Macaca fascicularis: one gene and its partners. The protein of the gene in region 4 interacts with the protein of the main gene of each other region in a biochemical or structural test. Links are inferred from orthologs where the notes say so. Each region holds a gene or a part of one and is shown on either strand. Other genes may lie near its edges. The genes, in order: PRKCZ, BAD, CDC25B and YWHAZ.

Region 1 (7,427 bases), on a different chromosome or scaffold from region 4:
CTCCCGGGGGAACAAGAAGCAAGCCTAGCCCGAGTTCAGTCTCTTTGTGAGGAGAAAGAAATTTCTAGAAACCATCCAAGCATTCAACAACTCCTAGAATCAGGTTCTTCTCAAAAGACAACCTCAGAGTCCCCACCTCGGCATCCTGGCCCACAGGGGATGATTTCAAGACAGACCAAAACTGCAGCAGCGACTCTTCCTAATGCCTTTTCTCAGGGTCCTGCAAACTCGCTCTCATACATGGCATTAACTGCCAGCTGGCCAGGGTGTGCTGCAAAGAGGGTTGGAATCCTCTTCTGCGGCCGGGGGCCAGCAGTGGGGCCGTCAGCAGGGCACCACACCTCTCAGGGCCTCCGTTCCTCGGCACAGGGCATGGATGCTGCCACTCAATTGTGAGTTCTGCACCCAGGGACGAGGGGCCGGTTGGACAGCCTGTGTACTGCACAGACACACCCTGCTGGGAGGCAGTAGAGGCTCAGTCCCAGCCCCAGTTCTGCCTCCCAGCCCCGAGCCTGGCTGGTGGGGAGGGAGCCCCTCTGTGGCCCATCGGGGCTCGATGAGCACCCAGTTGTCTTCTGTGCTAGCAGCACTTGGTGACAACGGCATTACTGCCACCTACACATCGGCCTTTTTTCTGCTCCTGAGAGACACAACCTGCATTCAGGTATGAAAGCAGAAGGCCAAAAATACCAGAAGCCGACAAGTGCACGAAAGATGCTGAACATCGCCAGTCATTAAAGAAATGTCAGTCAAAGCCACAGCTGCACACTCATTAGGACGGAGGTCATCCAAATAACGTGCATGGCTGAAAACCTGCAGAAACAGGCCCGTGCGCTGCTGGCGGGGAGGTGAAACGGTGGCTGCGAGGGAAACAGCCTGGTAGGTCCCCATCACCTGAACAGAGAACTACCACGTGACCCAGTAACGCCACTGCTAGGTTTGCACTCAAAAGAACTGGAAATAGACTCAAACAGATTCTTGCACACAAACCTTCACCATGGCACCACTCACAAGAGCCAAGGGTGGGAACACTGCAAATGCCCCTTGGCAGGTGCACGCGCAAACGTGGGGCCTCCACCGGACAACGGAACAACATTACCCAGCCAGGCAGAGAGAGGAAGGCCTGAGCAAGCAGCCACACGGATGGACCCCGGAGAAGCCAGACACTAAAAGCTCACACACAGCTCCATTCTGTCAAATGTGCAGAAGAGGGAGGTCCGCAGAGGCAGAAGGCACATTGGAGGCCACTGGGGCCAATGTAGAGGGGAAGCAGGGGGTGAGTATGGGGTCTCCTTTTGGGGTGAGGAAAATGTTCTGGAATCAGAGAGGTGATAGCTGCCCAACTCTGTACCTCAATGTGCTAAAAGCTGCCTAACTGTACACTTTATTTGTATATTTTATTCCTTTTTTAAGACAGAGTCTCATTCGGTCACCCATGCTGGAGTGCAGTAGTGTGATCTCGGCTCACTGCAATCTCCGCCTCCCAGGTTCAAGTGATTCTCCCGTCTCAGCCTCTGAGTAGCTGGGATTAGAGGTGTGCGCCACCACACCTGGCTAATTTTTGTATTTTTAGTATAGTTGAGTAGCTGGGATTAGAGGTGTGCGCCACCACACCTGGCTAATTTTTGTATTTTTAGTATAGTTGGGTAGCTGGGATTAGAGGTGTGCGCCACCACACCTGGCTAATTTTTGTATTTTTAGTATAGTTGGGTAGCTGGGATTAGAGGTGTGCGCCACCACACCTGGCTAATTTTTGTATTTTTAGTATAGTTGGGTAGCTGGGATTAGAGGTGTGCGCCACCACACCTGGCTAATTTTTGTATTTTTAGTATAGTTGGGTAGCTGGGATTAGAGGTGTGCGCCACCACACCTGGCTAATTTTTGTATTTTTAGTATAGTTGGGTAGCTGGGATTAGAGGTGTGCGCCACCACACCTGGCTAATTTTTGTATTTTTAGTATAGTTGGGTAGCTGGGATTAGAGGTGTGCGCCACCACACCTGGCTAATTTTTGTATTTTTAGTATAGTTGGGTAGCTGGGATTAGAGGTGTGCGCCACCACACCTGGCTAATTTTTGTATTTTTAGTATAGTTGGGTAGCTGGGATTAGAGGTGTGCGCCACCACACCTGGCTAATTTTTGTATTTTTAGTATAGTTGGGTAGCTGGGATTAGAGGTGTGCGCCACCACACCTGGCTAATTTTTGTATTTTTAGTATAGTTGGGTAGCTGGGATTAGAGGTGTGTGCCACCACACCTGGCTAATTTTTGTATTTTTAGTATAGTTGGGTAGCTGGGATTAGAGGTGTGCGCCACCACACCTGGCTAATTTTTGTATTTTTAGTATAGTTGGGTTTTCACCATATATTGGTCAGGCTGGTCTTGAACTCCTGACCTCAGGTAATCCACCCGTCTTGGCCTCCCAAAGTGCTGGGATTATAGGTGTGAGCCACCATGCCTGGCCCTAACTGTACATTTTAAAATGTCAAATTCTATGCCATGTGTATTTTACTATAATTAAAACAAAAAGGTGTATGAAGTCAGAATCAAGATTTCAACAAATAGGCCAAGAGCAGTGACTCATGCCTGTAATCCCAGCACTCCAGCAGGCTGAGTGGGGCAGAGTGCATGAGTGCAGGAATTCGAAACCAGCCTGGGCAACATAGTTGAACCCCGTCTCTACAAAAAACACAAAAAATAGCCGGGCATGGTGGTGCACGCCTGTAGCCCTGGCTCCTCTGGAGGCTGAAGTGGGAAGATCACCTCAGCCCAGCAAGAGGTGGAGGCTGCAGGAGGAGGTGGAGGCTGCAGGAGGTGAGCTGTGATCATGCTCTGCACTCCAGCCTGGGTGACAGAGTGAGACACTGCCTCTACAGAAAATACAAAATTATACAGCTGGGGGTGGTGGCTCATGCCTGTAGTCCCAACACTCTGGAGGCTGAAGTGGGAGGATCACCTGAGCTGGGGAGTTTGAGGCTACATGGGCTGTGATCAAGTCACTCCAGCCTGGGTGACAGAGTAAGACCCTGTTTAAGAACCTATTTCCAAAAAAAAAAAGATTTCAACAAATAAACCATTGATCCTATAATCAATAAACTTCTCCCCCAGAAACAGCTGGTGTGGGAAGATCTGCTACACAGAGCCGCGGCAGTTCAGCACGTCCCTCAAAGCTGGGGCCTTGTGCAGGACGGAGTGAGGCAGTGCCTCTGGGCAGCTTCCTGTCCTACCCCATCACCCGCCCGGTTCAGCTCAACCCCAGGGATTTCCTAACAAGGGTGACGACGTCCTCAAGCTCAACCGCAGTCTGCTGGAAGGCGACGTATCAGTGGTTGGCCACACACGCGAAGGTCGCGGAGACGATACCCATCTTCACCTTTTCAAAGCTTAGACACGAGTGCTCTCTGCGGTGGTCCGCTCACTGCCTGCGGTGTGCAGTGCACGGACAGCCGTGCGGGCCGGCAGCCTGAGAGCAGGAGCTGCACTGTGCATCCTGGCCGCGGAGTTGGCTGCGCCGTTTGGGTTTGTGGAGCACGCGTTGTGACATTCACACAACGGTGCCATCACCTGACCAGGCACTTTCCAGAACACGTCCCGGTTGTTACGCGACGCATCACTATTGATTTTGCGCAAACTCCATCAATACGAGGCCAGGACTCTCATGCCTGGATTAATTTTGCTAAAGCCTGGAGCATTCATTATGGCCTTCTAATGCCCTCTTCCCCAGGTGGCGGCCCCAGGGCGGTGCGTTCCCGGGACCCCGAGCGCCGTGAGAAGTGGCACCTACCTCGTCGTCATGCACCAGCTCTTTCTTCACCACTTTCATGGCGTAAATTTGGTCATTCTTCTTCAACCGCACCAGGAGAACCTTGGCGTAGCTCCCGCGCCCTATGACTCTGATTAGGTCGAAGTCCTGCAGCCCGAGCCCCTGAGAGATTTTGATTCCATCCATCCCATCGATAACTGGCTTAAGGTCCTAGGAAGGGAGAACAAGACCCCAGAAAGTGAGGGGAGAGGGGTCCCGGGAGATTCAGAGGACCACGCATCACTCATGCGGTCCCAACAGAGATCTGCTCCTCAGAGCCTAGAGCCTCACGATCCCAGTCTCAGCTCTGCGTCCCACAGATCCCACCCCCACACTCCCATCTAAACCGGGGCACAAAAGGTGAGAACTTCAGGCTGTGCTTCTGAGGAAGGTGCTAGAAAGTCGGAAGCTGCTCGTTTCCACAGACCATGGCTCTGGTCACAGCTGCCAGTGGGAGGGACCCCCAGGCCTTCAGCCCTACCAGTCGGGCTGAAGAGGTGGCCACTGGGACATGCGGCCCAGGGCCTGGGCCCATCCTTCCCCATCAGGGCCCTCCCTCGGGGAAGGAAGGTAAAGCAAACGTAGCTAATGCCTGCCAAGAGCTCCCAAACCGGCAAGCACACATTATTAGAAATAATTATTAGAAATATACAGAAGAAAGGCGCTCCGAGGAAAAAGAGAAGCCTCGGCCTCCTGCAAGCTACACCAGGCAAGGATGTCGGGGTGGAGGAGGTAGTTCGCTAGGAGGTGCTGTTCTGTGCAGCAGAATGGATTCTGCTTTTTTTGAGACAGGGTCTTCCTCTGCCACCCAGGCTGGAGTGCAGTGGCGCAATCTCGGCTCACTGCAGCCTCCACCTCCCAAGCTCAGGCGATCCTCCCACCTCAGCCTCCCAAGCAGCTGGGACCACAGGCCCATGCCACCATGCCCAGCTAATTATTTTGTATTTATTTTTGCAGGAATAGGGTTTCACTACGCTGCCCAGGCTGTTCTCAAGCTTCTGGACTCAAGTGATCTGCCCGGCCCAGCCTCCCAAAATGCTGGGATTGGAGGTGTGAGCCACCGTGCCCGGCTTTGGATTCTGCTTTCTAAGTGACCCAGCCTCCCTCCAGACACAGGACGGCCAGGAAGGAGCACGAGTTGTGAGGGTGGTATGTGCCGCTGCTCTGGAAAGGTGTGGGCTTTGCCAGCGCAGCCCTTTCTTGGGTTTTACGAGCAGAGGCTGAGAACACAGCAAGCTCTTCTGTTCCCTTCTCAGGGTTTGTGGTGCAGAGCTGGCCACAGACGCGAGGCTCAGTTGAGCCTCTTCGCTTGAGTTGGGGAAGGACGTGAAAAGGCATTAGAGGGGTTTGCCAGGACGGCCAAACGAGGCAACGAAAGGAAGGCCGTGGTGCAGACACAACTTGATAAAAATTACAGCTCAAAAGCCAGCCCCTGGGCCACTGTACTGCCTGGGTGGAGAGGATGTGGGGCGCGGCTTCCCCCCAGGGTGTGGTCCCCAGACCACCCGCTGGGACAGCTGCCTCCAGGGAATCACCAAGGATGTGCCTGAAATAAGACCCAAGAACAAGGGCTTCTTTCTAGACACCCACACCCGTAAAGATTAGCAACATCCCGGACCGTATATTTCACATCCAGATTTATGTGACTGCCCCAGAGGCAGGCTCACAGACTTCCAAGAGGACGCTGGAAAGGTAGCGAGCTGCTCCGCAGACTCACCTCAGAGTCGTCTTTAATGCTGTCATGTTTCCGGGATGAGGAAATGTAAGCAACTGGCGAGAGAGGGAGGAAGAGGCGTTACGGTGTCGTCAGGAACGCGCTGGGAACACAGCGACCCCGTGGGCCCTGCTCCTCCACCAGGCGACGGTGAAGGGCAACTCTACACAGCAGCCATGTCTGATTCTATTTTAGAGTCTTTTGAAAATGCAGCTTCCTGGGCCCCACTCAGACCTGCCGACTCTGACCATGGGACCTGGGGATGTACATTTGTGACACACGCCCCCAGGGGTCCATCTGCAAATAATTAGTCATCAGATTTTGGTGTCTAGTGAATGGGTGGGTGGGGCAGGAGGGGATGTCTAGTGAAGGGATGGAGGATGACTAGATGGGGGATGAATGGAGGCCTGGATGGAAGACGGACAGATGGAGAGGTCAGTGGACAACAGATGGATGGATAAATGGAGAGGTCAGTGGACAAGAGATGGATAGATGGAGAGGTCAGTGGACAAGAGATGGATAGATGGAGAGGTCAGTGGACAATAGATGGATGAATAGATGGAGAGGTCAGTGGAAAATAGATGGATAGATGGAGAGGTCAGTGGACAATAGATGGAGAGGTCAGCGGAAAATGGATAGATGGAGAGGTCAGTGGACAATAGATGGATAGATGGAGTGGTCAGTGGACAATAGATGGACTGATGGAGAGATCGGTGGACAACAGATAGATGGATGCAGAGGTCAGTGGACAATAGATGGAAAGATGGAGACGTCAGTGGACGATAGATGCATGGGTAGATGGAGAGATCAGTGGACAATAGATGGAGAGGTCAGTGGACAATAGATGGATGGATAGACGGAGAGATCAGTGGACAACAGATAGATGATGGATGGAGAGGTCAGTGGACAATAGATGGAAAGACAGAGACGTCAGTGAACAATAGATGGATGGGTAAATGGAGAGGTCAGTGGAAATAGATAGATGGAAAGATGGAGATGTCAGTGGACAATAGATGGATGGGTAGATGGAGAGGTCAGTGGACAATAGATGGATGGATAGATGGAGAGGTCAGTGGACAACAGATGGATGGAGAGGTCAGTGGACAATAGATGGAAAGATGGAGACGTCAGTGGACAATGGATGGGTAGATGGAGAGGTCAGTGGACAATAGATGGATGGATAGATGGAGAGGTCAGTGGATAATGGATGGATGGAGAGATCAGTGGACAACAGATGGAAAGATGGAGACATCAGTGGACAATAGATGGATGGATAGATGGACAGGTCAGTGGACAATAGATGGATAGATGGAGAGATCAGTGGACAATAGATAGATGGACAGATGGAGAGGTCAGTGGACAACAGATGGATGGATAGATGGAGAGGTCAGTGGACAATAGATGGATCGATAGACACAGAGATCAGTGGACAACCGACAGATGGAAAGACGGAGACGTCAGTGGACAATAGATGGGTAGATGGAGAGGTCAGAGGACAATAGATGGATGGATAGATGGAGAGGTCAGTGGACAAGAGAGAGATGGATGGAGAGGTCAGTGGACAATAGATGGAAAGATGGAGACGTCAGTGGACAACAGATGGACGGATAGATGGAGAGGTCAGTGGACGATAGATGGATAGATGGAGAGGTCAGTGGACAATAGATGGATGGGTAGATGGAGAGGTCAGTGGACAACAGATGGATCGATAGATGGAGAGATCAGTGGAAAATAGATGGATGGATAGATGGAGAGGTCAGTGGACAATAGATGGATCGATAGACACAGAGATCAGTGGACAACAGACAGATGGAAAGATGGAGACTTCAGTGGACAATAAATGGGTAGATGGAGAGGTCAGTGGACAATAGATGGATGGATAGACGGAGAGGTCAGTGGACAAGAGAGAGATGG
Region 2 (7,905 bases), on a different chromosome or scaffold from region 4:
GGTGTGATCTCGGCTCACTGCAAACTCCGCCTCCCGGGTTCCCGCCATTCTCCTGCCTCAGGCTCCCAAGTAACTGGGACTATAGGCGCCCACCACCACGCCCGGCTAATTTTTTTTTTGTATTTTTAGTAGAGACAGGGTTTCACCATGTTAGCCAGAATGGTCTCGATCTCCTGACCTCGTGATCCGCCCGCCTGGGCCTCCCAAAGTGCTTGGATTACAGGTGTGAGCCACCGCTCCCAGCCTAATAATTTTTTTAAAATTCCTTGGCATCATCCTGGTTCCTCTCTTTCCCTCGCACCCCACATCCAGTCCATCAGCAGATCCTGCCAGTTCTGCTTTAAAAATAAATCCAGGGCCGGGCGCGGTGGCTCAAGCCTGTAATCCCAGCACTTTGGGAGGCCAAGACGGGCGGATCACAAGGTCAGGAGATTGAGACCATCCTGGCTAACACGGTGAAACCCCGTCTCTACTAAAAAATACAAAAAAACCTAGCCGGGCGAGGTGGCGGGCGTCTGTAGTCCCAGCTACTAGGGAGGCTGAGGCAGGAGAATGGCGTGAACCCGGGAGGCGGAGCTTGCAGTGAGCTGAGATGCGGCCACTGCACTCCAGTCTGGGCGACAAAGCGAGACTCTGTCTCAACAAAAAAATAAAAATAAATAAATAAATAAATAAATAGGCCGGGCGCGGTGGCTCAAGCCTGTAATCCCAGCACTTTGGGAGGCCGAGGCGGGCGGATCACGAGGTCAGAAGATCGAGACCATCCTGGCTGACACGGTGAAACCCCGTCTCTACTAAAAAAAAAAAAATACAAAAAACTAGCCGGGCGAGGTGGCGGGCGCCTGTAGTCCCAGCTACTGGGGAGGCTGAGGCAAGAGAATGGCGTGAACCCGGGAGGCGGAGCTTGCAGTGAGCTGAGATCCGGCCACTGCACTCCAGCCTGGGCGGCAGAGCGAGACTCCATCTCAAAAAAAAAAAATAAATAAATAAATAAATAAATCCAGAGGCCAGCTACTTCTCACCACCTCCCTGGTGACTCTCTGAATGTCTAAATCTGACCATGCTGCCTCTGTTCAAAGCCTTTCCAGGTTTTCACCCAAAGGCAAAGTCAGAGTCCTTACAATGACCTCCACCTTTAGGTCTCCAAAGACCCTTTCCTAACCCCCTCCTCTAGGCCCACCCTAGCTGGGAGCAGGTGTTGCCCTCAGGGCCTTAGCACCTGCCCTTCCCTCTGCCTGGAACTCTCTTCCCATCATCCCTGTGGCCTTGGTTCCAGTGGTGCTTCTCACCAAGTGAGTGTTGACCACCTCTGCTACCATCACTCCCCCAGCCCCGTGACTCTGGATTCTCTTAACTCTTTTTTTTTTTTTTTTTTTGAGACGGAGTCTCACTCTGTTGCCAGGCTGGAGTGCAGTGGTGTGATCTTGGCTCACTGCAACCTCCGCCTCCCGGGTTCAAGTGATTCTCCTGCCTCAGCCTCCTGAGTAGCTGGGACTATAGGTGCATGCCACCATGCTTGGCTAATTTTTGTATTTTTAGTAGAGATGGGGTTTCACCATGTTGGCCAGGCTGGTCTCCATGTCTTGACCTTGTGATCCGCTCGCCTCAGCCTCCCAAAGTGTTGAAATTACAGGTGTAAGCCTCCGCGCCCAGCTTCTCTTAACTCTTACATGCTGCCCCCATACAAATCTTCTCATCCATGATAGGATGCACTTTTGTGCTTGTTTGCTTATGGACCCACCACGTCACTAGAATGTAAGCTCCACGAGGGCAAGGATTCCTGATGCTTGGGTTCACCGAGGTCCCCCTAGCAACTGGAACAACCTGTGTCACATGGTGAACACTCACTCTGAGACACAAGTCAATGCTGAGTGTGTGTGGCGGGGGGCAGAAAGCAGGGGGAGTTTGTGAGCAGAAAAACAGCCAAGTGCAAGCTCAGAAAGTTAAAGAAAGCTGTGGAGGCCGAGCATGGTGGCTCACGCCAGTAATCCCAACACTCTGGGAGGCCAAGATGAGAGGATCTCTTGGGCCCAGGAATTCGAGACCAGGCTGGGCAACAAAGCAAGACCCCACCTCTACAAAAAATAAAAAATGAGCTGGTGTGGCAGCATGTACCTGTGGTCCCAGCTGTTCTGGAGGCTGAGGCAGGAGGATTGTTTGAGCCCAGGAGTTTGAGACCTGCCTGGGCAACAAAAGGAGACCCGCCCCTGCCCTCGTCTCTAATGAAAACATGAAAAATGTCGGGCGTGGTGGCTCACGCCTGTAATTCCAACACCTTGGGAGGCCGAGGCGGGCGGATCACAAGGTCAGGAGATAGAGACCACCCTGGCTAACATGGTGAAACCCTATGTCTACTAAAAATACAAAAAATTAGCCGGGCATGGTGACACATGCCTGTAGTCCCAGCTACCTGAAAGACTGAGGCAGGAGAATTGCTGGAACCCAGGAGGCGGAGGTTGCAGTGAGCTGAGATTGCACCACTGCACTCCAGCCTGGGTGGCAGAGTGAGACTCTGTCTCAGAAAAAAAAAAAAAAAAGAAAAAGTTAAAAATAAATTAACTAGGTGTAGTCCACACACCTGTATTCCCAGTTACTTGGGAGGGTAAGGTGGGAGGATCGCTTAAGCCCAGAAGTTCTAGGCTGCAGTGAGCTGAGGTCACACCTCTGTACTCCACACCTCTGTACTCCCTCCTAGGTGATAGAGCGAGACCCTGTCTCAAAACAAACAAAACAACAACAACAAAAAAAGAAAGCAAGCTATGGGATCCAATCTGAGAGAACTGAGTGTGTGTGTTTGTGCGTAAGAGAGGGAGGGGAAGGAGGCCTCTTAAGCCTTCTTAATCCTGAAAATGGGAAGGAGGTCGTTTAAGCTTCAGTGCCAGAGTGACATGACCTAGTTTTCTATTTTTAGAGATGGGGTCTGGCTATGTTGCCCAGGTTGGTCTTGAATTCCTGGGCTCAAGCCAGCCTCCTGAGCTGCTGGGACTACAGACATGGGCCACCCCACCTGGCTTGACCTGGTTTTTGTGTTCAGAAGATATATGTTGTTGTTCCAGGTGCCAAGGCCAGTGCTGGGCACAGGGGTGGTGGAGCCTACTGAGAAATGGACACTGAACCCCAGTGTCTATCCTTCCATCTTGGAGCCTGTGCTTCCCACCCCACACAGCCCTGCTGTCTGGGAGGACCGTCTGCCCCTTGAGGTCACCTGCCCCTGGCCTTTGTGCCAGGACAGGCCTGCTGTGGGCGCAAGCCTCGGGGCAAGAAAGAACACATCTGGGAGCTGGAAGGCCCAATCCCAGGGAAAGCATGTAGCCTGGGGCAGGGCACCAAGGAGTCTTCCAGCCCCCACCTTCTAAGGAAAGAAATGCCAGGCAGGTATGGCCTTAGGTAGGCCCCTTTTCCTTTTCGGATCACTGCCTGCCTGCCTGTCACTAATTTCTGTCCTGGCCCCACACTGAGAGCTGCCATATATATATATACATATTTTAAGAGATGGAGTCTCCCTAAGTCACCCAGGCTGGCTTTGAACTTCTGGGCTCAAGCGATCCTCCTGCGTTGGCCTCCCAAAGTGCTGGGATTACAGGTGTGATCCGTCATGCCTGGCAGCTACCATTTTTTAGCTTTAATGTGCACCAGCTCTGTAATCAAGTGCATCCTATATGTTCCTGCTAATTAACTCAACAGTCCTACAATGGTGGTTATTAATTGCTCTGTTTTACAAAAGAGGAAACTGGGGCTCTGAGAGGTTAGGGACCGACCCAAAGCCTTCAGTGCCCGTGGATACAACTGGGATGCAGGGAGCCAGTGGGCTGGGGGTGAGGTGACCCGGCAGGTGGAGGTGGTGGGGTACTTACCTCCATGATGGCTGCTGCTGGTTGGCTGCTCCTGCTGGTGACTGGCGTCCCACAGGAGGCCTGGGGCCTGGCGATGATGCTTGCCGGAGTCTGAGGGCCTGTTCCCCGCGGGGCTGGGGCCCAGGCCCCTCTCTGCAGAGCTGGAGTCTTCCTGCTCACTAGGCTCAAACTCTGGGATCTGGAACATGCTCTGGGCTATGAGGACAAGATGTTAGGTAGTCAAGGCACAGCTGGGGCCAACGGTGGCCCTGGAAGGCAGAGGCAGGTACCCTTGGCTCCCTCTCCCACCCTAGGGCCCCCAGGCCCGCCAGGCCTCCCGGGCCCTCATTTGTCTGCTGGGTCTGGCCTGGCAGGGAGCTGATGCTGTCGGCTCAGGGCCTCAATCTCCCCTTAGAACCCTGGTGGACCCAGGCCCCTACCCAGGCCCCGCCCCGCCCGTGGTGACGGCGCACAGGTCTCACCCCAAGCCCGATCTCGAGGCCCCTGACCCGGGCCTGCCGCCTCCCTCCTGCACCCCGGGCTCCCGGCCCTAGTTGCTTGGGCAACGGGAACTGTCAGCGACCTGGCCCAATCACCTCTCGGAACGTCACTCGGGTAGGTCCAGAGGCGGGGTCAACCCGGCCCGGCCCCGCCTCCCCGCCGGACCTACGGCTACTCGCCCGCAGCCTTTTTTCTCCCTCCTGCAGCCCTGGTGCTCATATCCTCGCTGCCTCACACCTTGGACGTGTGTGGGAGCAGGAGAGGGATTCTCTGGGGTCCCCATTTGGAACCTGGAGACCCACTTCTGCCAACAAGTCCTTCAGCCCCTCTGGACCTTAGTTTCCCCCCAGTGAAGTGGGGATAGTGACAGCTCCCCCAGGAGCCAGTGAAAACTTTGTGAAGGGAGTGATTACTGCGGGCGAAGGCGCTTGGCACAGCCACAACTGAAGCTCAGCCGTCGGATGCGATTATTGTTGCTATTGTTACCGCTCCGCCTGGACTGGGTGCCCGGTCGGAAAGTCCCGCTCCCCGCTCCTCCTCCCAGGCGTGGAAGCTTCGCGCCGCCCGCCTCGGGGGACACCTCCCGCGCCACCTCGGGGGCACTGGAGATAAGGAGAGGAACCTCCTCCCTGGCTGGGATGGCTGCCCGGGCGCGGGAGGAGGGCCGGGGACCCGGTGAGGGTGGACCGTAGGATCCGTGGGGGCTTCAGGCCTGGCAGGCGGCCGGCCAGGTGAGCAGGGCCGCGGGCGCGCCGGGGCGGGGGGCGGGCCCGCGCTGGGGATTCGGGGCTCCGCGGGTTCAGGCCCGGGGGCGGGGCCCGGGGGCCATCTTGGCTATGGGCGGAAGTTTTCTTCAGAGGCCGAGGGACGGGAATCCGTTGCCGCCCCCGGCTGGGTGGCACGACCCCGATTTGGGTATAGGAGAGAGGAGCGTGGGAATTGGCGGCCCCCCATACAAGTTAAGGCGGACCGCCCAGGCACAGCCCACCCGGGGACCCCCTGGATGCGGCACGGCCCCCGCAATTCGGCCGCCCTCCAGCCGCCTCCCGTAACCCCGGGCGCCCGCCAGCGGCGCAGCTCGCGCCAATTCTCGTACGGTTTCACGCCGGGTGCGGCGCTGGACTGCGGAGCCGGTCGGGCCCCTGCGCAATTTGCGTAGCGAACAGCGCCCGCGCAGGCGCAGGAGGGGGCGGAGCAGCGGGAGCCGGGGAGCCGGAGCCCCGGGTCCCCACGACCTGAGCCGGCTCTCCCATCAGCGGCCTGAGGACCTGGCATCCGCCTCCTCCCGCCCCTTGAGGCTGGAGAGTGGACGCGGTGGGGGGGGGTTGGGCGGGGGGCAGCTTTCGAGAATTACAAGGACAGAAGGCAGAGGCCCTCCCCATCCGCATTACTGGAGGAGAGCCTCCCCCAGCTTGGGGAGGGGGAGAGCGGGGCATTGGGCGCCCCCTGCAGCGGCCGCTGCCCTGACCCGACGGGCATCGGCTGGCTCTCCCCCTCCAGCCAGGACGACACGAGCGACCGAGGCCAGGGACTCCGCTCCTTGGGCCTCTGCATCCCCCCATCCCTGACTCTGGGGTAGGCCCAGGGAGGAGACACCCCCAACCCCCACCCGGTCTGCCCTGGAGAGAAGAGACTGCCCTTCCATGCCCCTGAGTGAGGGGCCTGGGGCCCAGGCTGCCCGTGTTCCCCAAGGGCAAGGGTCTCTCTGTTGAGGAGGAGGGGCCTGTCAGCCACAACTTCTTTCCTCCTCAGCGCCCCATCTCCCTCTCTGCACCCTGCAATTCCCACCCCTCCGTATTTATTACCCTGGCCCTGCCGACAGCCCCTCCTTCTCTGTCTCCGGGATTCAGGCCTCCCTCCCTGACATGGAGAGTAACCTGTCTGGCCTGGTGCCTGCTGCCGGGCTGGTGCCTGCGCTGCCACCTGCTGTGACCCTGGGGCTGACGGCTGCCTACACCACCCTGTATGCCCTGCTCTTCTTCTCCGTCTATGCCCAGCTCTGGCTGGTGCTTCTGTATGGGCACAAGCGTCTCAGCTATCAGACGGTGTTCCTGGCCCTCTGTCTGCTCTGGGCTGCCTTGCGTACCACTCTCTTCTCCTTCTACTTCCGAGATACTCCCCGCGCCAACCGCCTGGGGCCCTTGCCCTTCTGGCTTCTCTACTGCTGCCCCGTCTGCCTGCAGTTCTTCACCTTGACGCTTATGAACCTCTACTTTGCCCAGGTAACCAACTGTGGTCCCGGGTGGGGGGTGGGAGGTGGCAAGCCTTAAGGACCCACGGGAGTGAAGGGCATCTCTGCTCCTAGGTGGTGTTCAAGGCCAAGGCGAAGCGTCGGCCGGAGATGAGCCGAGGCTTGTAAGTACTCGGGACACTGGTGGGCTCAACCTCCAGGTCAGGGGCAGGGGACAGTCCCATGTAGATCCCTTCCCACCTCTCAGGGCTGAGACAAAGACAACCCAGGGAATGTCTGTGGAAGAGCTTGGAAAAGTTAAAGCACCTGGCGCAGATGGCTCAGCAGAGGCGTTGCAGATCTGCAAGGCACAAGAATAGGAATGGTTGTGGTAGTGTGAGGGAGAGGAACCCAGTGGCATCCACCATGGAGGGTGAGCTGGAGGCTCCAGTCCATGGAAGCACCAAAGCCATATGCACTCCTGGGTGACCTGGGGCCGCAATGCCCTCGTCATTTGTACAGTGTCTTACGGTTTATAAAGAGCTTTCCCAGCCATCTTTCATTTGTACAATTTCCCTGAGAGGCTACTCTCCTCCCTTGAGAGATGAAGAAACTGAGGCCCAGCCAGGTAAGGCATCAGGATCAAGGTCGCAGAGCTGGGGCTCAGACGGAGACTTCTGACTCCAGTTGGTGCCCCTTCCGAGGTACCATGGCTGTCAGTCACCTTCTGACCTCTTTGAGCCTCAGTTTCTCCATCTATAAGAATGGAGGAACAGGGCTCAGACTGGATGCCCTGAGTTCTGTGGACACTGGGGTTTCCTGCAGGAGGTGGGGCAGGTGGTGAGTGCTGAGGGCTGTTGAGGGCCCGGGCTGACTGTGCTGTGGCTGCAGGCTGGCTGTCCGAGGGGCCTTTGTGGGGGCCTCGCTGCTCTTTCTGCTGGTGAACGTGCTGTGTGCTGTGCTCTCCCATCGGCGCCGGGCACAGCCCTGGGCCCTGCTGCTTGTCCGCGTCCTGGTGAGCGACTCCCTGTTCGTCATCTGTGCGCTGTCTCTTGCTGCCTGCCTCTGCCTCGTCGCCAGGCGGGCCCCCTCCACTAGCATCTACCTGGAGGCCAAGGTAGGGCCGCAGCACTGATGCCCAGGTGTCCTTTGGGATCTCTGGGCAGCGGTTCTCAGGGTGTAGAGGAAGCTGGGAGCCTTCTCTCCCTGAGGGTCCTCTGTTGTTACCTGTGCCAGGGGACCAGTGTGTGCCAGGCGGCCGCGATGGGTGGAGCCATGGTCCTGCTCTATGCCAGCCGGGCCTGCTACAACCTGACAGCACTGGCCTTGGCCCCCCAGAGCCGACTGGACACCTTCGATTACGACTGGTACAATGTGTCTGATCAGGTGGGCATACGCATG
Region 3 (7,954 bases), on a different chromosome or scaffold from region 4:
CTAATATCCTAAATATTCAGCATTAGGGGCTTGAGTAAATATATATTGTTATGGTACTAATATGGATCCATCTCCAAGTAAGATGAAGAAAGGTATAGAGCAATGGTTTTTATTTTTATTTATTTATTTATTTTTGAGACAGAATCTCACTTTATCACCCAGGCTGGAGTGCAGTGGCACGATCTTGGCTCACTGCAACCTCCACCTCCCGGGTTCAAGCGATTCTCCTTCCTCAGACTCCCAAGTAGCTGGGATTACAGGCGCACGCCACCATGCCTGGCTAATTTTCATTTTTAGTAGAGACGGGGTTTCACCATATTGGCCAGGCTGATCTCGAACTACTGACCTCAGGTGATCCACCTACCTTGGCCTCCCAAAGTACTGGGATTACAGGTGTGAGCCAGCATGCCAGCCTAGAACAATGTTCATATGCTGTTTGTATATTCTTTAAAATACAGATGGATTTACGCTTGTAAAGATATAGACCTGCAGCCACTAGCCCTAAGTGGCCACTGAACTATTAAATTAATTTATTTTTATGTTTAGAGTCAAAGTCTCACTCAGTTGCCCAGGATGGAGTGCAGTGGTGGAATTATAGCTCACTGCAGACTCAAACTCCTGGGTTCAAGCTAACCTCCAGAGTCACTTGGATTGTTTGTTTGTTTGTTTGTTTGTTTGTTTTTGAGACGGAGTCTTGCTCTTTTCACCCAGGCTGGAGTGCAATGGCGCGATCTTGGCTCACTGCAACCCCTACCCCCCAGGTTCAAGCAATTATCCTGCCTCAGCCTCCTGAGGAGCTGGGATTATGGGTGCCTGCCACCAGGCCCAGCTAATGTTTGTGTTTTTAGTAGAGATGGGTTTTCACCATGTCGGCCAGGCTGGTCTCGAGCTCCTGACCTTGTGATCCACCTGCCTCGGCCTCCCCAAGTGCTGGGATTACAGGTGTGAGCCACTGCGCCAGGTGAGTTGCTTGGATTATAGGCAGGGGCCACCACACCCGGCTAAGTTTTTTAAAAATGTTTTGTAAAGACAGGGTTTCACCATATTGCTCAGGCTGGTCTTGAATTACTAGCCTCAGGCAATTCCCCTGCATCAGGCTCTGGAGTTGCTGGGATTACAGGTGTGAGCCACAGTTCCAGCACTATTGAGCCCTTTAAATGTTGCAAGTACAAACTGAGATGTGCTGGGGGTGTAAAATGCATATTAGAGTTTGAAGACTTGGTATCCGAAAAAGTATGTAAAATATCTCAATAATTATATATTGATAACATGTCAAATAATATTTTGAATACATTACATTGAATAAAATATTACAGTAATTTCATGTTTCTTTTTTATTGTTTTAAATGTGGCTACTAGCATATTTTAAATTATGTATGTGGGCCAGGCACAGTGGCTCGCCTGTAATCCCAGCACTTTGGGAGGCCGAGATGGGTGGATCACCTGAGGTCAGGAGTTCAAGACCAGACTGGCCAACATGGCAAAACCCTGTCTCTACTGAAAATAAAAAATTGGCCGGGAATGGTGGCGGGCACCTGTAATTCCAGCTACTCGGGAGGCTGAGGCAGGAAAATCGCTTGAACCCAGGAGGCGGAGGTTGCAGTGAGCCGAGATCATGCCACTGCCCTTAAGCCTAGGTGACACGGTGAGACTCCATCTCAAACAAACAAACAAACAAAAAAACCCAGAACCCCTCTATGGTCTTGCCCACCTCCCCACTCACCGGCCCAGAGGTGACCTGACTGGGATTTCAAGGGATTCAACAGTATAATGCCCACCCTGCATTGTTGCCCTGTATGTTGGCTGGGTGAGGGGTAGGGGGGATACCTGCTGTGTTTATTTTGAAAACGCAAATCTTGGGGGTTTTATTTCTGGTTTTGGGGCTGGGTAGCCTCACAAGGGCACTTCCCCCTTCCCTCCTGGCACTAAGGGCAGTCACATCCTCACTGGAAGTAGTGGCTGGAGGTCCAGGGCATGACCCCTGACCCAGGGAGGATGAACCGGAAATTCAGTCTTGCAGAGCCCTCTGCACAGCACAGGAACTGGGCAAAATGTGGAGAAAAGGAAAGGTCATGGTTCCCACGTTGGCCACCCCTCTCAGGTGGGGCTGGGGTCTTCCCCTCCCCTTCACGTGCATTGGCCCACCAAGCCCCCCATCACCAGGCCGTCCCTTTTGCCACCCCCAAAAATTTGGGTCCGGGTGGCTGGGACTTCACTAGAAGGGGCGCTCCTGCCTTGCTGAACTGCAGCCCGCCCCCCAACTGCCCGCCCAGCCAGAGGCCACTTCTAACCTGGAGATACCGTATGCTATATGAAAGCTGCTTACTACCCACTGGCTTTTCAGTGCAGCCTTCAGCCCTCTTGTTCCAGGAGGCCTGGAAAACGGGCGGGGCTGGAAGGCATTTAGATAATTGGAAGATGGGCCTGGCGCTGTGGCTCATGCCTGCAATCCCAGCACTTTGGGAGGCCTAGGCAGGTGGATCACGACGTCAGGAGTTCGAGACCAGCCTGACCAATATGGTGAAACCCCGTCTTTACTAAAAATACAAAATCAGGTGTGGTGGCGTGCGCCTGTAGTCCCAGCTATTCGGGAGGCTGAGGCAGAAGAATCGCTTGAACCCGGGAGGCGGAGCTTGCAGTGAGCAGAGATCACCGAGTCACTCCAGCCGGGTTGACAGAGCGAGACTCCATCTCAAAAAAAAAAAAAAAAAAAAAAAAAAGGAAAAAGAAAAAGATAATTGGAAGATGCTTGGCTTAAATGAATGACAAATTCAGCCTCTCTGGTCTGGTCATCAAAGAAACACCAATTAAATAATATGGTGCCATTGCCACCAAGTTAGCTAAGTCATCAATGGGCGTGATACTTAATTAACTTCTCTGGTTGCTGACACCCTCCTCGACCCCCAGCCGCGGAAATCCATGCCTAGTTCCACCATTCAGAGCCTCTACTGGGGCTGCCGCGAAAATTGGACTGGTTGGGGTAACATCTAACCTGGGGTCCCCCGAAAGCGCCCGTCAATTCCGCTTGGGGGCCCCACTGCCCTCCCACCTCCTAAGCTGGGCGCTCCGCCTGCGAATGACGTTTTGCTGCTGCTCAGCGCAGCCACTTGCGGGGGCGGGGAGGCTGCGGGGTCAGAGGCGCCTGGAGGGAGCGAATCCTGGCCCACCGCCTGCCCAACCGCGTGACCTTGAACGAATTAATGAACTTCACGCCTCAACGTCCAGGTCTGTAAAATGGGGTATCTAACGCAGACCGCACAGCCCAGCTGTGTTTAGCAAACTTCCGGGAGCCGGTTGGAGCCTCTCCCCGTCCCTAGCGGTGATACCAGGTGACGATATGCCGCGGGGGGTCCAGCGGAGGCCACCCTAGGGCGTTGCTGCTGCCTTTGGGAGTATGGAGCTCCAAACCATGTCGCGACAGGAGGATTTCGGGAGGCCTGGATCCTCGCGCCAGGGGGATGTGCGAGGGTATGGGATGATTCCTAATTCCTCCGGCCCACCCAAAGCCTAGATATCCAGCCTCCGCGCCTCTCGCCCTGAGGGCCCCGCCCTCAATCCCGCCCTCCTCTAACCCGCTACCCCATTGGTGGCGTCCGGCGGCGCGGCCGCTGTTATTTTTCGAATATATAAGGAGGTGGAAGTGGCAGCTGCAACTAGAGGCTTCCCAGGCTGGTGCCTGAGCCCTGCGTCCCTCGCCCCCGCCCTCCCCGCATCCCTCTCCTCCCTCGCGCCTAGCCCTGTGGCTCTTCCTCCCTCCCTCCCTTCCCCCCCTCACCCCCTCCGCGCCCGCTGCCTCCCTCGGCCCAGCCAGCTGTGCCGGCGTTTGTTGGCTGCCTTGCGCCCGGCCCTCCAGCCAGCTTTCTGCCGGCCCCGCAGCGATGGAGGTGCCCCAGCCGGAGCCCGCGCCAGGCTCGGCTCTCAGTCCAGCATGCGTGCGCGGTGGCGCCCAGCGTCCCGGCCACCTCCCGGGCCTCCTGCTGGGATCTCATGGCCTCCTGGTGTCTCCTGTGCGCGCGACCGCTTCCTCGCCGGTCACCACCCTCACCCAGACCATGCATGACCTCGCCGGGCTCGGCAGGTAGGACACCCCAAGGAGGCTGGATATGGGGGTGAGAGGCCCGGTCTGGAGTCCTGGGCCTCCTGGAGAACCGGGCATGGTATTCGAATCCAGGAGGTGGAGTCCGGGGGAGGCATCCTGGGCAGTGGAGAGGTACAGGACATGGGAGGTGAGACCTGGGCTGTGTCCCCCACACAGGTGACCTCCAGGTGACCTGCTCTCAGTCTACACAAGCCTCTCCAAGTCTTTCCCCTCACTCCCTCCTCCCTCATTGTGCCTCCACCACGCTGCCTCCCTAATCTCTGCCCAGATAGCCACCATTTTGCTCCAGGATGGGATTCCCAAGCCTGGAGAGGGAACTTGAGGGTGGCAGAGCCGTAGGGCACTCACACATCCATACCCCCGCTCCCTCCACCCCAATTCTGCCCCCAGAATTAAGGCAATTAATTAAACACTGATCCTGCTCCCTAAGTGCAAGGGGAGAGCTGGGTTGTTCCAGTAGGAGAACCTGGTCTTGGTCCATCCTTCAGGAAGAATCCTGGAAAGGTGGGGGTCTGACAGTTTAGGGGAAGGCTCTCCGGGGCGTCTCGGCTAGACCACCAACCCCTAGGCTGGTCTCCATCCAGGCCACCTTGCTCACACCCTGGGCTCACCTTCCCCTGCACCTGGGAGGACCTTTCCTAAACCAGTCAACAAAGAGAAGCCCCTTTAGGACCTCTGTAGAATGAACCTGCCTTGAGCTGAGAAGAGGGCCGGCCCTCAGGGCCATTGCTTTCCCGCTGTAGCATTTCGCTCAGTTCTTTTCTCAGTGAGGGAGTGGGAACGTGGGCTAGCGAGGCTTTGAACCCCACCTTTCTCCTTTCCCGGGTCCCTGCTCCTTTCCCAGCGAAACCCCAAAGAGTCAGGTAGGGACCCTGCTCTTCCGCAGCCACAGCCGCCTGACGCGCCTATCCCTGTCTCGACGGGCATCTGAATCCTCCCTGTCGTCAGATTCCTCCGAATCTTCTGATGCAGGTGAGGCCCAGGGGAGCCTGGGGAGATCTGCCAGTGCCAGGAGAGTTTGTGGGGGCTGCCTGGGCCTCTCGATTTCCCTGCGGATCAAACTAACATCCTCCCCACAACCTGGTGGGCCCAGGAGCCTTTCCCCCACCCTCCACAGAGATGGGAGGAAGACACACCTCATGTGGGGCTCACCACACCCAATGTGGACTGGCTGAGTGGATGAGAGGGTGGGGCCCTCTACGCTAGATGAGATCTTACCTGTGTAAAACCACACACCAAAGTTCCTAAACCACAGCCCTACCTGGGAAGCACCCAGGGCTGAGTTGGTCTTGAGAACATTCTTAGTCTATAAACTCTTCTTTAAAAATCTGTTGTCTCTTCTAGAACAAATTGTTTGAAATCAGTTCAAGAAAAATGCTTAGCGAGCATTGTGGTTTAAAGACACATATAAAGAAATTTCCATAGTAAACAGGGAGTGGCATCCTGTACCATTTGGGAGACGATGTGTCAGCTCTCAGGGTCCATGATTGGGTTTTGTTTCATTTTCTAATGTGCCAAAGTCCAAACTAGAAACTTTTCTTTTTCTTTTTTTTTTCTTATTGGGACATGGTTGGGGAAAGTATACAGAAAGTGCCACTACTTTCAAACCAAGGTGCTCTGTCCCCTCAGGTCTCTGCATGGATTCCCCCAGCCCTGTGGACCCCCAGATGGCGGAGCAGACGTGAGTAGAGAAGGGAATGTCTACTACCAAGCAATCAGCACCTGCCTTTAAGAATCCTGGTTCTAGCATAAACTCACTGAGGAGGCCTGGGGAAACAGGCAGACCATGAGGTGGCTTCAGGATCCCCATGGCCGGGGGGCTCACTAACCTTCTCAGGCCTTGGGATTCTGCTCCCTGTCTCAGAGAAGGATCTGCTCTCATGGGAGCCAACCAAGAGTGGGCTCAGGGCCAGGGGTGGTGGGGACAGTGGCCATTGGGAGAGCAGATACTAGGCTACAGCCCATGTCTTGCAGGAATACAAGCCCAGCGTATGTCCCGTTTTTCTTTCTTGCCTATACCCTTTTTTTTTCTGTGAAATATTACAATTAAAAAAATATGATCCAGTTAATTCAGAACTTTAACTCACTCTAGGCCAAACAAAACACAGTTGCCTGCAGATTGATTTGGCTCTTGGCCAATGAGCAACCTTTGACTTCGATGACACTTGACCCTCTGGCCAGCCCTGGCCTAGGCTCTTTGTGCAAGGGAATGGAGAGAGAGTTGGTGGGCTCTGGCCTGGACAGACACCTTCCCCTTGGCTGTGGGCATGGGTGGTGTCTTGCAGAGCACAGCTGTTCCTGTCCAGTTGTTAAAGCCCAAGCAGCTGGGCAGCTGCCAGCCATTAGTAGGGACAGCTGGGCATCCCTAGCCTGTGCTGGGGACTGTGGTTTTGGGTTTAGGGTAGTGACTTGTCTTACCTCCCATTGCCTTTGATCAGACTACGCTGGGCTGCAGATTGGTTCACAAACAGGAAATGGGGAGAGGATTGGGTGGGGTCGGGGGACTGCAGGTTGGTTTTGGTGGCAGCACAGAGCAGTCTTGCCCTACCCCCAAGGCCCATGTGCAAGCCAATGAAATTGGTCATCCCTGATGCTGGGTCGGCTAGGCACAGCAGCCCCCCCAGGGGGGGATCCCCCTCATACTTTATCCCTGAGTGGTTCCCTGCCTCACACCTGCTTTGACAGTTATACAGTTTCTCAGAAAGAAGCTCTGTGTGTGTGTGTAGATGCACAAAAGCTCTGCGTGGCAGGTGGTCTCCTGTAACACGGCTGGGGGGTGGGGCCTCAGAGGGAACATGTGTTGGAATCCCTTGCCTGCTGGCCTCTTCTAAGGCAGAAGGAGGGGGTGGGACAGAGGCTGGTCCTGGAAAATTCCATAAGAGGGAGGAGAGGATGTGGCCCTGCACGTTTGTCACTAGGGGGTCTGCTGTATCAGACTGGAGCTGATTGGGGGACCCCTAAAGCAGGCCCCAGTCCTGGGAGGACCGGGAGCCAGGCCAGCTCCTCACAGGGGAGAGGAAGCCTCGCCTTGTTGTCCAGGCCCTGGAGACACCCACATTGCTGGGTGCCCCTGGCCTATCACCATAGGATGGATGGATGCCTTTCCTGGCAGCCATATGGCCCCGCTGAGGTGATTTGCATACAGGTGGAAGGCCTGGTGCAGGCTGGCGAGACTGTTGCCTTGGTGACGCCTCCCTGACCCTGTGACCTGCCCCAGCTGTCTCTATCACTGCCATTCTCTGGGCTTTCTTTCATTCAGGGCAGCCTTTAAAATTCTAGGCTGCCTCTTATCTCCCCCCTCCCCAATACCTGGGCCCCCTGATGGTTGGGCGTTCCTCCTACCCAACCCCTTCCACTGGCTTGAGCCCTGGCCCTTGTCTTTGCCCTTATTCCCCCCTGGACTGGAGACCTGGTGCTGGGAACTGGGGGACTGGGGGCCTGGTGCTGGGGTGGGTGATGGGTGCGAAGGGAGGATAGGTTGCATGGGACCCTTCTCTGTCCTAGGTTTGAACAGGCCATCCAGGCAGCCAGCCGGGTCATTCGAAAGTAAGTGTTCCCGGACCTCTTCCATCTACCACGGGCTTTCCCCTAGGATGTATAGGGCTCCGGAAGGGCATGCTACATGCTCTTGGTCCCTGCCCTGCCTCTCCCAGCTCTCACCTGTCCCCATTTCCTCCTGTAGAGAGCAGTTTGCCATCAGACGCTTCCAGTCTATGCCGGTGAGTGTCTTTGAGGCCTGACTGAGGCTTAGACATGCTGGCCAGGCATGGGGTAGATAAGCAGGAGGCATCCAGGGATCACCTCCCAGCTGGGTGTCCCAGGCAGGCTGTGGGAGATGGGGTTTCAGAGGTAGAT
Region 4 (7,427 bases):
AGAGTTCTTTGGAGAAGGCCTTATTTTCCAATGAGCTGCCTAGTGATTTGCATCTTAAAAACTACACAGCAGTTTTTAAAGCCCAAGGCATGTAATAATATATTCAGACTACAAGGGACTCAAAAACTACTTGCTTTCTTATCTTATTTCTGTTTAATGGTAGTTCTGTGGGCTGGAGATAAAAATCGGTGCCCCATAACCACAACTTAAAATTGCTCTGAGCAAATAAAAATGTAGAGCAGCAATAAAATAGAACTCAGTCGAATTAACTGAATCACTATTAAGATTACTGAACTGCAGTTGCCAACTGTTATGAATGTTAGACACACAATTTTATACTGCTTCCTGTCGTAGACTTCCTATAAAGTCATTCTTTGCCTATAGCAGTGGATTTTAAATTTTAAAATGAAATCTTTGAAAATCTGATGGTTGGCATGGACCTTCTGCCCCAGAAAAATGCACAATCTTAAAGGCTTCGTCCATCTTCTAAATTCCATTCATGGACTATGAGTTAAGAGACCCCTGCACTATTACAGGCAGGCTCACACTTTTAAATAGAACTGAAAAGCTAAGATAAACAGGACACAAAAGGTAGTCAAGGTGCTTTACCTCTCATTCCCCACAACCCTGGGGGATGAGAATTATTCCTATTTAATTGAGCTTAGTTTTCTCAGAGGGACTGAGTGATTTCCTCAGGCCATGCATCTATTAAATGGTAAAACTAGTTTGATTCAGTATCTTGAGCTCCATTATTCACCTCGACATACTTCTTTGAGTTTGAAATAGTCTTCCTAGACTGTGTTTCCTTGGTATTCATTTCATCAAGTGCAAGATAAAAACTACCCAATTTTTGGCTGCCATCTTTCAGGTTTAAAGAGGTGCTAGTGTTGAGTCCCTCCCCAACTACCAAGAGAGTTTCTGTCTAAGCATCTGGCAGGAAAGGCAGATTGCATTAGTTCACATATTGCAGTTTCAAATTAACACATGGAAGAGAAGAACTCGAAGTTCTTTTACATAATGAAAAGTCCACCTTGTGAAGAACGTGCCAGTGACCACTTTCCACGGTAATGCTCTATTAACTCTTGTAATAAGCAACATGGTCCAAGCTCTTTGCTTATTAAATGGTTAAACAATTGATAAATACATGTAACCAAAATGGGTTACTAAAAAGTTCTTCAGAAAAACTCAGAACGTTGGAGATTAGCTGCTTTTTGTAGGAAGAGTATATTTTCATAGCTATTATAAAATAGGTGCTCAATATAAAAAATCTGGTTATCACTAATGCCACCAGCCAATACCATTAATTCTGCAAAGGGATTACCTGCTTATTTTTCTCAAATTAAAGTGTGTGTATATATATATGTATATGTGTATATACATATATATATCTCAAAGCCCAGAAAAGGCTGGAGTAATAAAAAATTATAATTGATTTTTTTATCATGTAAGATCTCAAATATATAATTTAAAATATTTTTAATAATCATTAAGTAACAATGATTCAAAAACTTTCTCTAGTAGAAATACCAGTTCTGCTACACTTTATTCTTCCATTTCACTAAAAAGGGGAAAAGGAATTTTATGCAATGTTTCCAGAGTCGATGTGACCTATTTGAAATAGATGGTAGGAAAAAGAAGCCTATTATCTGTAAATATCAAATTTTCCCAAGCAGAAAAAGAAAAAGCCAGGGAAATTTTGCAGTGCTGCTGACCTAATTCTATCCTTTCTCAAAAGAAGCCTTTCTGCTTGTTTAACAAATATTTGAGCATCTACTACACGTTCTGAGTATGCAAAGATCACTAAGTCTTACTCTTAAAAAGACTAAGGCTGGAAGCCAAAGCTTGTTTAGAATTCTCTTCGAACCCACTTGTATAGTAAAGAAAACTCTCATTCATCCAAACTTTCAAAGTATAAATACCATAGACTTTTTAAGAAGCCAGTGCTATTCTAGAGGGTAACGATGTGAGTAGGGACCAGAATCAAACTCCTTAATAATCATAACAACAAGAAGCTATTAATATTAAGAGATTATCTTGTCATCCTCATCTACTGGTTCTATGCAAAAAATTTTTCTTGATAAGGAAACCAAAGGGAAGCATAGTCAAAACTGCTACAAGTTGGGCCAGACATGGTGGCTCACCCCTGTAATCCCAGCACTTTGGGAGGCTGAGGTGAGTGGATCACCTGAGGTTGGGAGTTAGACCTGACCTGGTTACCAGCCTGGCCAACAAGGTGAAACCCTATCTCTACTAAAAATACAAAAATTAGCTGGGCGTGGTGGCGCACGCCCTGTAATTCCAACTACTAGGGAGGTCAAGGCAGAAGAATTGCTTGAACACGGGAGGCTGAGGTTGCAGTGAGCTAAGATCATGCCATTGCACTCAAGCCTGGGCAACAAGAGCAAAACTCAGTCTCAAAAGAAACACAAAAAAACAAACCTGCTACAAGTCTTTTCCCAGGAGAAGACTCACAATGACAGGAACTTTTATACTTTGTATATGGAAAACATGCACATACCTACCTGGTATTGCAAATAAGCGTGTTATTAAAAGGTAAATGTCACATTCCTTTTTATTCCTAAAGTTGACTTTTGTCTTAAGGGAAATGTTAACTTGTAACATATCCTTTGAAGCCCAAATAAAAACTTTTTGATCAAGTGTAACACCAGACTGAACAAAACTGAGTTACACTTACACAGATATTAGTAAGGAGAGCAAGGAAAAAAAAAAAAAAAAACCCAATACATTTTTTATTATAGGAAAAAAATCACATTTTCAAAATTTAAATATTCTTACTACCTTAGCAAAATCACAAGATAGGTATTTGTCACTTGGCCTCAATAAAAGCAAGATATTCCTTTTTTCAACTTAGATACAAATAACAGCTATCATTGTAAAGGTTTCAATAAGAACAACAAAAAAAAAGCCCCAAGACAGATGTCTCATTGAGTTTGTGATTGTGAACCCAAATAAGCATGTTTTAAAAAATCACTATTATTTTAAAAGACAGTGTCAAGTATCATTTGAGAAAAATACAGTTTAGGAACTGATGCTATTCCATTAGTAAATACAAGTGTAAAGAAATGATAGCATCATCACAACTGTAACAAAAACCCCAAACCCACAACCACATCAGACATTATCCTATTGCTCATTACAGTACTTCTTCCATATAAATAAGGTTCATATAGTAAGTAACACACCTGGATTTCCATACTGAGTCCCACATTCAGTAACCTGTCCAGAAAAATCGCGATGCTGCTGCCCCTCTTTGTATATCAGAGTCCTGCCATACTGATTAAGTGTAACCATTTAGCAAAATCACTTTAAATATTATTCGAAAAACTGCCAGCTTGGATTTTCTACTAGTTTATCCTCAAATTTAAACTATTCTTGATCAAAAAGCCCTACTTTGTATGACAGATTAAAATTAACCAAAATGTAGTTTAATCATTTTAAGCGCAGTGCTTCAACACAGTAGGTACTGAATACTTAAAATACTCGATTCAAACTGGAAAAATCAAGCTTGAGTTATTCATAACCTTTCATCATGGTTGCGAGTGTTCAAAATTTATTTTCAAGAATTCAATGCAGGAAAGAGGTTTCATAGTCGTGACGCCAGAGTTTTCTGCATGGCTGACTCATTACATTAACATTATAGCGGCTAATCCTGAGAAGAGTACTATTTCTACAATCAGTATCCTATTACATCTCTCTTACATAAAATATGTAAAATTCCTTTATCCATAGATGTACATTTAAGATAACCAGCTATAGAGCTACCACAAATGTTCTAACCATAAGTAAAGCAGTAATACTATTAGTTTATCTTTTCAATAATACTAAAGTGTGTTATTTTTAAAACTGAACTGTTTCATCATCATTATTACAATTACTTTACATACACATATCTATAATTGTCTTAACATCTTTTTAGTTATGACACCATGAAGACTTTTAAATCTGAACACACAATGTTTAGAAGGAAAAGATAAACCGAAGAAAACGTTGAGAGTAATGTAACTGATACTCATAGGAACCTTACAGTATAATGAAGCCAGATTCAATTGATTCTCACCAGTACATCATTGCAGATATCTCTTAGCTCCGTCTCAATTTTCTCTCTGTATTCTCGAGCCATCTGCTGTTTTTTCTCAGCACCTTCCGTCTTTTGTTCAATACTTGAGACGACCCTCCAAGATGACCTACGGGCTCCTACAACATTTTTATAAGCAACTGAGAGAAGATTCCTCTCCTCATTGGATAATTCAGCTCCTTGCTCAGTTACAGACTTCATGCAGGCTGCCATGTCATCATATCGCTCAGCCTGCTCGGCCAGTTTGGCCTTCTGAACCAGCTCATTTTTATCCATGACTGGATGTTCTGCAGGGGGGAAAAAAGGAGTATTTAAAATTTTTCCCATCAAAATAAACAGACTCAAAATTATACCTGTGGTAAATGAGTTTTTTAAACCTGAAATCTAACTGCCTGTGGAAGACTGTTCACATGAAGAATTAAAATGCAGCTTCACAAAAGGATAGTCAGAAAAGGAAAAAAAATTCAGCATACTCAGCATCAGAGGTAAACTTTCAGCCATTAACACATCAGTGTAGCAAAACTAAAATTTGTCCATTAGATACAGATTTCACATGTCAAAATTACTTTCAAAAGCTGCCTCAAAAACTTACCCCAATCTTACTTGACCAAAATCTCAACTCATTTCCAATACCACTAAGTGATCTGAAATTAAGCAGCTTTTCTTCCATAGTAAAAGCATTGTTTACAGAGAACATCTGGATTTCTATCATATTTCCAGAATCATAATTCTTGTCAGTTTAACTCATGTCTTTTTACTTTCATAATACTTTCGTCAGGAGTGATTAAATTTTAGTTTTAGTGTTACCCCCACCCCAAACCTACTAGATCTCTGCAACATTTGCCAGCCAATAATAGCATAACAATTTGGGGGGAGGAATGACCAAACTGTTTGTTTTCAGATATTTTGAGTATAAATCCACCACAAAGGATCAATATCTGACCCTAATGCCTCAACTCCTTATCTTGTTATATGTCCACATGCTTTAAAAATATCCACAAGTCATGGCACTTCAACTCTTACTGTGAGTACTAGAATATATCACGTTGGAAGTACTTGATTTACAAGTGTTTCCAATGTCATTGCTCCAGTTGAAATGTAGAAGTGCTGCATTTTGCGTCTAGCTGTCATACTGTAATTGGATGTTATCACTCAAGCTGTTCTTCACCATGACTATCCACCTAATTCTCTTTCCCTCGCGTTTTAGTTTCCTAGACCTTTTCTATTTACCTCAGCTACATTTTTCTGGAAAGATATCCTTTGGCAAGTTGGCAAACAGCACAAAGATACTAATCCACACAGCGATACCACACCAAAAAAAAAAACGACTTTAGAGAAAAATATACACCCTGAATGAAGTGCACTTTTAAATTAGGTGAACGGAAGAGTTCACCTTGGAAGCTGACTCTCGAATATTAATCATCTTTTGCCTTCCCAGGGAAATCTCACAGTATTTTTTTAACTAAATGAGAACAGGTCCCCACATTTTAAACAAATTACTTAGCCACTTTGGATACAAGGTACTGGCTCAATACGTAAACTATTTAACCTTTATGACGGCATTATTTTCCTCAGGTGTCTAAATTACTAATTTTTCCCTTAGGATCTCAGAAACAGTCTCTGGTTAATTCTGCTTCTAATGAAAAATGATTTAAACCAGTACAAAGGATTCTCTACCCAATCACTTCGGTACAAGAGGAAGTGGATAAGGTTTCTCACACAGTAATGAGTGCTCCAAGGCCTCGCCTCTACACTGCGGGCAGGACTCACCGCACCCATTTAACCCTTACCTGACTTGAGACGTCGACTACGGCGAAACGAAAACCGGCAGACCCGGACTTTAAAGTGAAAATCCTCCGGTCCACTTATCCGCAACCACCCCCCTCCAGGCTCCGCCCAAGTCGGAGCCTCCGCTCAAGTCCCCGACTCTCCTTTGTCATGGCGGATCTGTGTCAGGGAGCCCAACCTACTGCAGAGTGTTAATTCCCCCCTCCTCCGACCGAAGCCAGAGGGAGGAGCAGCCCGCGCCCCCGCCCAAGCCGTGGCGCGGCGGGTGGGGGGGAGCGAAGCCGCCCGACCCCGGGGCAGAGACGCCACAGCCGCCCGCAGAAGCGGAACCACTACCAGCCCCGCCACGGACACACCCCGCTCTCCCACCCAGCGCCTTCCCCGCCACCGATCAGCGCCGATGCCCGTGTACAGCGTCTCTAAGGGACCGACAGCTGCAGGTGGGGGAGGGGACGAGAGCCACACCCAGCAGAGCGGGCCACCAGCGGCTATGCTCAGGGTCACCCGCCCCCAAAGCAGGATATGCGTCCCCAAACCGAGCGCAGGGAACCTCCAGTTCTAGTCCATCACGCACGGAAGCCGACGGCGGGCTCCCCACCCCGCTCTCTACCCCCACCTGGACTCGCAGCCCCCGTCCGCACCTCCTCCGCCCGTTCGAAAGGAGCAAAAAAAGTCAGACCCATCCCCCACCCCCACCAGGAAATTTCAAGTCCTTCCTCCCACCGCGGAGCCCACGAAATTCAGCTCTAGGTCGCAGGAGAGCCCCACCCCAAAACCTCACCCCGCAGTGTGCTCCCCCTCGCGCCGGCGCGCGGCCTCGCCCCGGTCTACCTGGCGGGCGCCGCCGTGCCAGGCCTGGGCTCCGGCCCGCTCTCGGCCAGGCCTTTCCCTCGCTCCTGGATCCCCGAGGCCCCCGGCCCCTCCCCGCCGCGCCGCCGCCTCCCGGGGTGGGGGAGGGCCGGGTCCCGCCGCCGCAGCGCCCAGCGCAGAGGCTGCGCGAGGGGGAGGGGGGCGGGGGAGGGGAAGGAGGGGGCGGCCGAGGGAGAGAAGAGGGGGCGGCCTCACCTGCGCCACTGCGATGCCCGCCGCCGCCGCCGAGTCATTATCTCGGGCGGAAGCGAGAAGGGCGACGAGGGAGGGGGTGGGAGCCCGCAGAGACAAGGGTGGGGACGGATCGCGGCCGGCGGCGCCCCGGCCATGCCTCGTCCACCTTTGGGAGCCGGCGACAGGGGGATCCCCAGGGATCTCGCGTGTGGGCGCCCTCCCCACCCCCGGGAGCAGGACGGGGGAGCGAGCACCGATCGGCGCCGGGGCGTCGATGCGGAAGCAAGGAGTCGGAGGCGGCCGCTAGCCGCCCGCCCGAACTCAGCGGAAGAGGAGCCGCCGCCCGTGTCCGCTGAGGAGACTCCGCCTCAGCCCGGCGCCGCCACCGCGGGGCTAGTGGGGATGAGAGGACGGAGCGAGGACGGCTCCCACGCGTTCGGAAGGCTGGCCTGGGACAGGAAGGAGCGGGGCGCGGCGGCGGCCAGGTTCCTCACCTGTG

What was found.
Region 1: the proteins of YWHAZ (region 4) and PRKCZ form a complex in vitro, tested with the Homo sapiens proteins (2 studies listed by BioGRID, with this or other methods). The link is inferred for Macaca fascicularis from reciprocal best matches to the Homo sapiens genes YWHAZ and PRKCZ.
Region 2: the proteins of YWHAZ (region 4) and BAD form a complex in vitro, tested with the Homo sapiens proteins (3 studies listed by BioGRID). The link is inferred for Macaca fascicularis from reciprocal best matches to the Homo sapiens genes YWHAZ and BAD.
Region 3: the proteins of YWHAZ (region 4) and CDC25B form a complex in vitro, tested with the Homo sapiens proteins (2 studies listed by BioGRID and IntAct). The link is inferred for Macaca fascicularis from reciprocal best matches to the Homo sapiens genes YWHAZ and CDC25B.

Annotation. Positions count from the first base shown.
Region 1 is NC_088375.1:232,630,986-232,638,412, forward strand, and holds part of PRKCZ (protein kinase C zeta type), read right to left. Parts: intron 5,570-7,427; coding exon 5,517-5,569; intron 3,971-5,516; coding exon 3,782-3,970; intron 1-3,781. UniProt on the Homo sapiens protein: Calcium- and diacylglycerol-independent serine/threonine-protein kinase that functions in phosphatidylinositol 3-kinase (PI3K) pathway and mitogen-activated protein (MAP) kinase cascade, and is involved in NF-kappa-B activation, mitogenic signaling, cell proliferation, cell polarity, inflammatory response and maintenance of long-term potentiation (LTP).
Region 2 is NC_088388.1:10,107,210-10,115,114, reverse strand, and holds the start of BAD (bcl2-associated agonist of cell death), read right to left. Parts: upstream 5,107-7,905; 5' UTR 4,748-5,106; exon of another isoform or gene 4,485-4,747; intron 4,380-4,484; exon of another isoform or gene 4,274-4,379; intron 4,050-4,273; 5' UTR 4,042-4,049; coding exon 3,855-4,041; intron 1-3,854. Other genes in the region: integral membrane protein GPR137, read left to right, coding at 6,200-6,556, 6,640-6,689, 7,396-7,621, 7,741-7,890. UniProt on the Homo sapiens protein: Promotes cell death. Successfully competes for the binding to Bcl-X(L), Bcl-2 and Bcl-W, thereby affecting the level of heterodimerization of these proteins with BAX. Can reverse the death repressor activity of Bcl-X(L), but not that of Bcl-2.
Region 3 is NC_088384.1:83,491,180-83,499,133, reverse strand, and holds the start of CDC25B (M-phase inducer phosphatase 2), read left to right. Parts: upstream 1-3,081; 5' UTR 3,082-3,200; coding exon 3,201-3,225; exon of another isoform or gene 3,226-3,458; coding exon of another isoform or gene 3,459-3,468; intron 3,469-3,655; exon of another isoform or gene 3,656-3,876; coding exon 3,877-4,078; intron 4,079-4,943; coding exon 4,944-5,071; intron 5,072-5,728; coding exon 5,729-5,780; intron 5,781-7,603; coding exon 7,604-7,645; intron 7,646-7,781; coding exon 7,782-7,818; intron 7,819-7,954. UniProt on the Homo sapiens protein: Tyrosine protein phosphatase which functions as a dosage-dependent inducer of mitotic progression. Directly dephosphorylates CDK1 and stimulates its kinase activity.
Region 4 is NC_088382.1:110,572,341-110,579,767, forward strand, and holds part of YWHAZ (14-3-3 protein zeta/delta), read right to left. Parts: exon of another isoform or gene 5,887-7,427; intron 4,384-5,886; 5' UTR 4,373-4,383; coding exon 4,079-4,372; intron 1-4,078.